Arabidopsis thaliana: one gene and its partner. The protein of the gene in region 1 interacts with the protein of each later gene in a pairwise test. Each region holds a gene or a part of one and is shown on either strand. Other genes may lie near its edges.

Region 1 (6,574 bases):
GAGATAAAGTATACTCAATACTACATCATCATTTACACTAGGAAAATACATGCTTTCAACTTTAAAGCTCTGGCGTCGAAATTTCCAACAAAATAACAACACATGGACGACGGCAGTTTGACTAGATTACATCTATACTTCATTCGAATCACACAAAATGAGAGAATATAATTAAAAAAGGAAAAAATCCTTAAAAAAACTCAAACTAATTTTAATTTGGACGCTTAATACCTAATACTTTTAAATTAAAATAAAAATATCTTATTTAATTATTTGTGGTTATAAAATATTTCATATATAAACTATTGGTGAAATCAAACCCGAGATATAACGGCCGTTGACGAGCGTTACATAATCATTTAACGTCGTTAAATTTTAACCATACGGATATATACAAGCTGTTTTATATCATATAAGATGATATCGTTGTGGTCCAGTGGTTAATTGTGTTTAATTCTACCTGCAACACTCGGGTTCGAATCTAGATAAGGTTTTTTTAATTTTTTTTTCTTATTCTTTCCTTCCCCGCCGCGACCACTTCCCAGAGAGATGATACCTTCATCTAACCCATGAACAAGAGCCTCCAATTCCGAAATTTCAAGGTTTTTAGACTCTTCTGCTCCTAGATCGATCTCCAATCACCACATATTGTTACACCAATATCATTTAATTATAGCTCTCGTATATCCAATCATCTTTTCATTCACCTAATCTTTACAATAAACCCTAAAGCTCTCATCCCCAATCGCAAAAGAGGATGAAGAAGAACCCCCACCCTCAAGAGAGTAGGGATTTTATAATTGTGACCAAATTAATCCTCCAATTGTGCTATCATCTCCGGGATGGTGGTCGACGGCGGCGCTAGGGCGAAAAAGAAAAAAAAAACAAAAATTTAATATTTAAAGATTCTGGGCAGTCTCGAACCTAGATCTTGCTGATAGTGAATTCAGCATTTTACCAACAGACCACATCGATTTTATCTTCATTTCAGGAAATAAATTAAATATATCTCTGTACTATGGAGGGGTTAAAATTTAACACCGTTAACTATTTACGTTACGTCCGTTAACGGCCGAATTTGATTCTACCAATAATATATATATATATGAGGTATTTTATAATTATAAATAATTAGATAAAGTATTTTTATTCTAATAAAAAAATATTAGATATTAAACGTCTAAATTAAAATTAGTTTGGATTTTTATTAAAACTTTTCCTAATACAAAAATCCACGACAGAGCCATTATTATCTACACATAAATTAAAGAATACGTTTTGACCAAAAGAACGACATCATAATTCTCATACAAAACAATAAACCAAAAATTCCAACTTTAATCATTCGCTCTCCGCTGTCCAAATTATACATTTCCCAACCAAAAAAGGTTAGACCACGACTATTGAATATTCAACTTCTCCTACGCAGCTACGCTAAACTATTTACAAAATACAAATGAAACAAAGAAAAAACAAACCATCTAAAAAAGCAGAAATATTTAAGAGAACAATTAAATCTTCAAAAAAAATTCCTATGTAAAAATAAAAAGAGAAGAGACTCAATTTGTTTGAATTTAATCTCTCAATCAGAGACAATAGAACAAATGCCACTAGAGATACTCCCATGACTATCCCCACACAAATCCAATGCTCTCTCCAAATTCCCTACTATATCCGTCATTGTCGGCCTGTTTCTCCCTTCCGCATTCACACAATGCATAGCCGTATAAGCCACCAGCTCCACCGCATCTCCTTCACCTAGCTCCGGTGATCCAACTCTCGGATCCAAAATTGTACTCAACTCATCAGCCGTTATCGCCGGAACCGAGTAATCCACCAAATGCACCGGAACACACCCTTCCTCCTCCTCCACATCACCATTGTTCCTAAATATCGCTCTTTTCCCGGTCAACAATTCTAACAACACCACTCCTAGTCCATACACATCGCTCTTATCCGTTAAAACATTAAGACTATAATACTCTGGATCAATATATCCGACCGTCCCCGCAGCTTTCGTTGGACGTTGATAAGGATTATGATCTTTCCCTAGCACCGGACCCATTAATGATAACCCGAAATCCGAAACTCTAGCGACCCAATTAGAGTCAAGCAAGATGTTAGACGACTTAATATCTCTATGAATAATCGGTGGCACTGCGTAGTTATGTAGATACTCGATTCCTCTAGCCGCATCTAACGCGATTTTGATCCGCATTTTCCAAGAATTGATCAAGCTACTATGTTTTTCGACGTTGTTCTTGTCGTGTAGATGATCGTAAAGCGCACCATTCTTCATGTAATCGTAAACGAGAAGCTTCTCTTCTCTTTCTTCGCAGTAACCAACTAGTCTCACCAAATGCTTATGATGAAGCCTCGATAAAAACGCGATTTCCGAATCAAACGCGGTTTCTTTCTCTTGAAACTTCTTCATCTTCGCGTTTACTTCCCCGCGTTTGATCGCTACTTCTCTCCCGTCATTGAGTTTACCTCTGTAAACAACACCAAAGCTCCCCGAACCGATTTTGTTCTCTAGAGAGAAGTTTCCGGTAGCCGAAGCAAGCTCGGAGAACGAAAACTCTTCCGCTTTATCGGCGTGCTTCATCGACGATGTTCCACTTCTCTGCCTCCTCATTGATAGCATTCTCGATCCTTGACGTCTTATAGATAACGACCGGCTATTCGAACTGTTAGACCGGCTATTAGAACCACCGCGAGTTATCGTCGGTTGAACCGAGTTATGAACTTTCTTCTTCCCCAAGCAAACTCCAGTCCATAAACAGTAAACCACACTACAGATCCCTGCAAATGCTCCAACTGATCCAACGATCGCAAACGCTAATAATCCTCTTGTTAAAGCTTTCGACGGTGGAGATGAAGTTGACGGTGATGGCGGTGGTGGTGGTGGTGGTGGTGGAAGAGGAAATTGACTCGGAGGACTCGCTGGAAATTGAATCGGACATGATTTACAAATCGAGCCAGTACCAGAACAGAGCTTATCAGATTGTGGATAAACACCACAAGAGCAAAGAGAGGATGATGATGATTCAACGCAAGGACCTGGTAAAACTTCTGGGAAAGGGAGGAAGATTCTGGAGAAATTTGTAGGATTCCAACACATGATTGAGAGATTACTTGAAATCAACCCGCAAATTAGACCCGGACCCGAGGAAATCGATTCGAAAGAGATCGAATCCGTGACATTGTTGAATCTCTCTGCTCCTCCGCCCCAACAAACCACAGAATTATTCGAGATTCGCATCGCGCAGGTGAAATTTGATCCGAGAGAGAGAGATGATGAGTAAAGGTTAGGTTGATCTGGAGCAATAACATTGAGCTGACCAGAATCGTTGTTTCCGATGCAAATCAAATTCCCAGTAGTGTTTAATCCACAAGCGTGTGATTTACCTGCGGAGATGGTCACCATCGGCGTGTTTCCGAATCCGGTTTGGATCTGATTCGATTTAACCGGATCGGTTCCCCAGCAAAGGATTCGGTTATTTCGAATCGAAACGCCGCAGGAGAAACCAACGCCGGATGAAATTGATCGGAATCTCTCGTTCGGAGGTTTTGATTGATCGGAAACGGAACCTCTCCAGCATTTTAAGGAATTTGTACCGTTAACGGTTGCGCAGATTTGTTTATCCCCGACGGAGAGAGTCTCGAGTAAAACGTTGTCGTTTTGGTAGATTCGTTTCCGGTTTGGAGAGTAGCTTCCGATGTTATCCCAACAGAGAAGGCTGTAACCACCGGAGCGTATACCGCAGAGGAAATTATCTCCGGCGGCTATTGAGGAGAATGAGACGCCGGGGTTTAGAGTGACGTTGATATTAAGACGCGTGTCGTAACAGAGGATACGTTGTGTGGGTTGACCGGAGATCAATGCGCAGACGGTGTCGGAGCCGTATACGACTGCGTAAGTTGAGCCTGAACCTAAGGAGGTGACGGGAGACAAGAGGAAGAAGATGATAACGGCGATGGTGACGGTGACGGAAAACGTCACGGTTGAGTTGATAAACCTCTTCATCTACAGAGGTTGAAGTTGACTGGCGTCTTCGTCGTCGATTCTAAGTCGGATTGGTTCATTTTCAGAACTCAATAACAAGACTCTTGTGTTAGAAGTAACGAGAGAAGAAGAAGAAAGAAGAAGAAGACGTTCGTGAGATTTATTAGAGACAAGACAGTAATTAGAAATTAGTCAGAATTTGCTTAAGAAATGCGTTTTTAATATGTTAGAGTCACGTTTTTTTGTCTTTGATTTTGATTTATTTATTTATTACAGCATTAATCTAAATGTTAAATCTTCTAAAACAGAGTAATTATTTGAATTTCAAAAAGGAAATTCAGTATCTTTATGTAAATATAACAAGAGTGTTAATTGGTAATTAATTAAGATATATTTTTACATAACAAATTTTCTTTACTACCACCTTTTAAAGATTCTCAAAGAAAATTTGATATGAATTATTTGGGCCGTTTCAATATTTAAATACACCACAACTACTACGTTGTATATGTGTGTATATAAATAATGTGGTGATTTATATTAGTCATGCAACAACCGCTCATATGCTAAGAAAGTAGTGTGAATAATATAAAGAATATTAAATTGTCATGCAAACAGTATAGTATACATATTTCTTATATAATTCAAACTATAAGGTCTATGTTTCCAAAAATGTTTTTTTTCCTGTTCTGTGAAGTTATTAAACTGTGAATTTCTGTTTGTTGAACTTTCCAATTTCTGTGTTTGACTAAACTATGCATATCTAGAGTACTAGAATTTTCAATATAATTTATTTTTTTCACCTAGACCTTCATTCAAAACCTGTCAATCTTAATTTTCAATATTAATTGTGATTGTCAAAAAAAAAACTGTCCTTAATTTTTTTTACAGAAAGTTAGAATAATCATTTTAAAGTCAAAATTATATATATTTTGTTTGTCAATAAGATCAATGAAATATTATGGTAAAAGTTAGATAGATCAATTTTCTTTAAAAAAAAAAAGGTTAGATGGATCATTAATGAAAAAAAATATTACCCTAAAACCAAAAGTATATTTGCATAAATTGCATACACTATGTTGATCCATCAAAAACTTAGCCCGCTAGCTATAGATGTCTCCAAATATACAACTTAGTATAGTTTGAATACGATAAATGAAAAAAACTATTTCTTTTATTCCACCAAATTTGATGTTATGAAATTTTTACACAAATTAAGAAAAACAATTTTATATTTTAATATTATTGTTTTGTTATTTTAATAATATTAATTATATCTCTTTTTTTTTATTGGTCAACAATATAAATAATAATCATCAATTTTTGTGGAACAGAAAAAATTAAAACATCAAATTTTTAGGAAGAGAGAGAATATTATAAAATATGAGAATGCCAAAAAAAGGTTTTTTTTGGAGAAATGAAGGAAAGGAATGATTCCTGGATTCTACTAACGCGCACGTACTTTCTTAGAATCTTACTAGGGATTTGTAATAAAGAAAATTGATTGACGAAAAGTGAGAGAGGAAATGATAAACTGAAAACGACAGTAAAATTGTAAAGCAAAAACTATTCAATGGCTCATGGCTGCCTATATTTGACCAAAGAATAACTTCTACCGAATTCTTTCAATAGCGTGATCTCGTTGATTTGTAGTATTGAGCTAAAATTCAATAGCTATGCATGGTGCGCTTCAATATTGCTATTAACTTGTTCAAAATAAATTAGTGACATCTTTCCCTCAGTATTATTCAAATTATATGAAAGAATTTGAAGTCAAAGCTGAGACCAGACTTAGATGGAGACGGAGACTTGGGAGAAACCTTCTCTGAATCTTATGCACACATCTTTTTTCACCTTTTTCTTCATCATAATAAGTTTTGAAACATTGTATCCCCTCACCTTTATATTAATTAATTAATATATCATCTATCCCCTTTGTTTTGATATTTATTTACTCAAATTTAGTATAAATTGAATTTCCGATATCTATATTAATGTGTCTACATGCATGTACTGATAAATTATATATTGAAAATCATGGGAACATATCTACTACTACACACACACATTTGCATGAACTTCACGTCCTCGAATATCTTTTTCTTGTTGTTGTTTAATGTATAAATGATAAAAAAAATTGTGATTTAGTGGCAATATGATACTATAAAAAAAATGGTATTAGAAACTTAGAACAATCATTTGGGAAAATTCAAGTCGATTGTTTGCTAGGTCAACTATAATAAAATCAGTGTTCTAATGATGTAATCTAACAATCCAGGGACCAAATTGACCAAGTCTAAATTAAACATATGTAATGCGTCAATAAGTATTTTTGGAGGGTAAAAAATAAAGCTTTTTTGTTTGTTTTAGATTCTCAGAACGCAAGATATCAATGGAAAGAAGACTTCATGGTCCAGCTCTTAGACCACGTACCATGTACATAGTGTTGTAATACATCATGAAAAAGAATAAAAAAAAATGTAAACGTTTTAGTATTTTTTGAATTATATACAAGAAAATGTCGAACCAAAACTCATATCAATCTTTAAATTTCTAGTAATCAACCTA
Region 2 (3,740 bases), on another chromosome or scaffold:
TTTCTCTCTTCTCTATTTATATGCTTAAATCCACAATGAATCATTATTGTAACTGAAAGAGGATATTTAAAAAGACGAGTATACCCTTGATTTCTCTTGTTTAGTAGTAGAGAAGAGGGTAATTTGGTAAATGACGAAGTAAGTACATTGAGCTTCTTCGCGGACAGAGACACTATCTCTCTCTCTCTCTACCCTTTGGATCTTTCTTCTCGATCAATTATCCATTTTGCCCAGATTTTTTCCAGAAGCTCATCGAATTCGTAAGCTTTCGCGCCTTTTCCTCTCTTTAATTTATTTGTTAATCAATTTTGAATGTGTTGTATCTCTAGGGTTTATAATTTCAGTTTCACCCTTGTTTTCTATTGTTTCGCGGAATAATCTCTTGTCATGGAAGGTTTAGATTGATTCGACCTTTTTGATCTTGACCTAATTTATTCCAATTTTCGTAAAATTGTTCCTTAAGACCTGTTTCTCTGACTAGCTCAGATTGATTTTGGTATCTGAATCAATTGCGGAACCCTAACTGGCAGATCAATTCGAGAAGTTTTGATTTTGTTTGAAGATAGTGAATTGCGAGTTCAGTGTGCTAATATCTGCTTGTAATTCTTACTCTTCAATTGTTTTCATAGATCGAATCACAATGTTTGAAATTTGGTTTCACTGTTGCTGAGTGTGTTTGGAGGAGAAGCTTGATTGGTTCGGTGTTTCACTGTTTGAAGATTATAAGAGTTATGGAGAATGGTGGTCAGTATGATAATGCGCGGTTCAAGCCCGATTACTTCAAAGGTGCACAATCTATGGTAAGACTTAAGATTTTTGGTTTCCTAAAGATATGTTTTTGTTAGTGTGATTGAAGTTATATAAGCAAAGAATGTTTGTTACAGTGGAATATGATTCCCCAGCATCAGATTAAGGAACAACATAATGCGTTGGTGATGAATAAGAAGATCATGTCCATCCTTGCTGAGAGAGACGCTGCTGTACATGAAAGAAATCAAGCTGTCTCTGCTAAAAAGGAAGCTGTCGCTGCTCGGGACGAAGCGCTTCAGCAACGTGACAAAGCTCTTTCTGAGAGAGATAAAGCTTTGATAGAGAGAGATAATGCTTATGCTGCTCTTCAACACCATGAAAATAGTCTCAACTTTGCTTTGTCTGGTGGGAAGTGTGTTGATGGAGATGATTGTTTTGGTATTGGGGAACCCCACAAACTTGAAGTCTTCCCTTTGTCAACTATTCCGCCTGAGGTTACAAACACGAAGGTGGTGAACAAAAGGAAGAAAGAGAACAAGCAGGGACTATCAAAGGTGAAAAAAGTGGGTGAAGATCTGAACCGTCGAGTTCCTGCTCCTGGAAAGAAATCTAGAACAGATTGGGACAGTCAAGATGTCGGTTTGAACTTAGTCACCTTCGATGAGACGACAATGCCTGTACCCATGTGTTCGTGCACAGGCTCTACGCGTCAGTGTTACAAATGGGGAAATGGCGGCTGGCAATCGTCTTGCTGCACAACCACCTTATCCCAGTATCCATTACCGCAGATGCCAAACAAGAGGCATTCTCGGATGGGCGGTAGGAAAATGAGCGGAAACGTTTTCTCGAGATTACTCAGCCGTTTATCAGCAGAAGGATATGATCTCTCGTGTCCTGTTGATCTTAAAGACTATTGGGCTAGGCACGGGACAAACCGCTACATCACTATCAAGTAGCCTCTGTTGTTTACACAGTCCAAGTATGTTTCTCTCGTCTTCTTAAGATTAGGTGTTGTCTTTGTCTTTATTGTCCATAGTTTGTTCTTTGTTGTGTATGGTAAAACCATTGTTATGTGTATCTTTTGGATGGGCAAAAATGGTTTGCATAAAAAATCTGTGTTTTGACCTCAAAAAATAAAATAAAATCGTAACAGTTAAAAATCAAAATCTGTTACCCCTTTGATAGCAAAATCTGTTACCCCTTTTTTCTTTCACTTGTTAGTTTCTTTTTATACCGAGAGGAGAGAACAAAAAATAAAACACAAAGTAAGCATAAACAACAACAAAATGATGGAGAAAGCCACAGTGGCGCATGTGGAGACGCATCAACGGTCACAAGAGATATGGTTTCTTGGCGCCGCAAGAGCCTTCTTGCAAATTCCGAATCCGGGGATTGTCAAAGTTTTTGTCCTAAGCAGCTTGACTACATTCACCTCAGGAATGGCTTTAGTCATTGAGTGGATCTGTCACGGAAAGAGTCACACGGGATTCGGGTGGATCATCTACTATGCATTGTTCTTGATGTGTCTTCCTCTTGTCATCTTGATCGGTCTTCATATTCTCGTCAGGCGCGGCTCAGATCAGATTGTGGATTCAACTCCAAGCAAAGAACCGTGTGTGGTGCAGAATCAGAGTACCGAGACGACTAAACGAACTGAAGAAACGGTGAAAAACAGCTGCCAAAGTTTAGCCGTTGTGGTTGCTCCGGATGACAAGAAGATGCCGAGGATAAAACGCGCAGTGTCATTCCCGTCTCACGGCGAAGTAAGATCATGTCGAACTCGTTAGCAAATTAAAACTTAGTGTGGTTCATTCAAAAAAATAACTTTGATGTGGTTAGCTATCAGATCGATTCAAGAATCTAATAATCTCTTTTGTGATATGTTTGTTATTCAGCATTTTATCTTTTCCAATAATCCAACGACCAATGATCTTCAAAAATTCGAATTACATCTTTCTTTCTTTTTTCCCCTCTTATGAGCTGAGTTCAATATATATATATATATATATATATATATATATATATATATATATATATATTGATGTACTATATATTGTTAGTTAAAAGCAAAAGATGAAAAAGTCTTACAATGGGTTTTGGTTTTTCTTTGAAATTTTGTAACAACCCAAGTAAAATACTAGATCCTCTGTTTTTTAGGGAAAGTATTTTTTGCAAAATTTTGAATTGCTATAAAGTAGAGTTTTGGAAAAACTAAAATAAAAAATCTTTACATTCAAGGTAAAAATCTCTACTTCTTTGAAATAATGCCACGTGTCAGTTCAGCGAGGAATAATATGTGTGAGTCTCATGGGTTGTTTGAGTCAATTTCGTTACCGGTTCTACAATAAGAAGTTACTTTGGCCCAAATAGAAAGAAATTTTACTTATCAAGTGGCCGAAAGGTGGCCCCAAAAAAACAAGGAAGTAAATCTACTAATGTACATTTGTCGCTACATAATTGGTCTAAGATAAATTACTTATATAGAATACTGTTATGGTGATTTACCCAATTTTTAGCCAAATGTGGTAAATTTAATTTCTAAACAAACTTACAATCATTTATAGTATCTATTAATTTATTGCTAACAACAATTATTTTTTCCAAATAAAAATACATTTTTTTTTACAAAATTTAATTTAGATTCACTGAAATATCTACAATTAAGTAATGTAATTTAATGTGGGTCCATGTAGTGCATAGAAAAGATTTACTAATTAAGTGATTGCTAAAATCAATAAATTAATAAACAAAAATAAAAATATTAGTTGATCAAAAAAAGGAGATATATGATATTTATTAATATAGCCAAAAAATAAATCTCACAATTACAATTAATCAAAGGACTACAAAAATATACAAAACTTTCTGTAAAAAATCAAACAACAATCATTTGTAAAATCCAACATTGGTAATTCTTCTAGAGATGAACCAAATGTATATCTAAATCAGAAAAAGAAAACAAACAATATTTATGTTCCTTGATCAGTCTT

What was found.
Region 2: the proteins of CCR3 (region 1) and AT2G21237 interact in a protein complementation assay, tested with the Arabidopsis thaliana proteins (one large-scale study listed by BioGRID).

Annotation. Positions count from the first base shown.
Region 1 is NC_003074.8:20,752,321-20,758,894, forward strand, and holds CCR3 (CRINKLY4 related 3), read right to left. Parts: upstream 4,371-6,574; 5' UTR 4,028-4,370; coding exon 1,583-4,027; 3' UTR 1,245-1,582; downstream 1-1,244. UniProt on the Arabidopsis thaliana protein: Serine/threonine-protein kinase.
Region 2 is NC_003071.7:9,099,481-9,103,220, reverse strand, and holds AT2G21237 (uncharacterized protein), read left to right. Parts: upstream 1-2,005; 5' UTR 2,006-2,036; coding exon 2,037-2,537; 3' UTR 2,538-2,685; downstream 2,686-3,740. Other genes in the region: BPC4 (basic pentacysteine 4), read left to right, coding at 732-800, 885-1,706.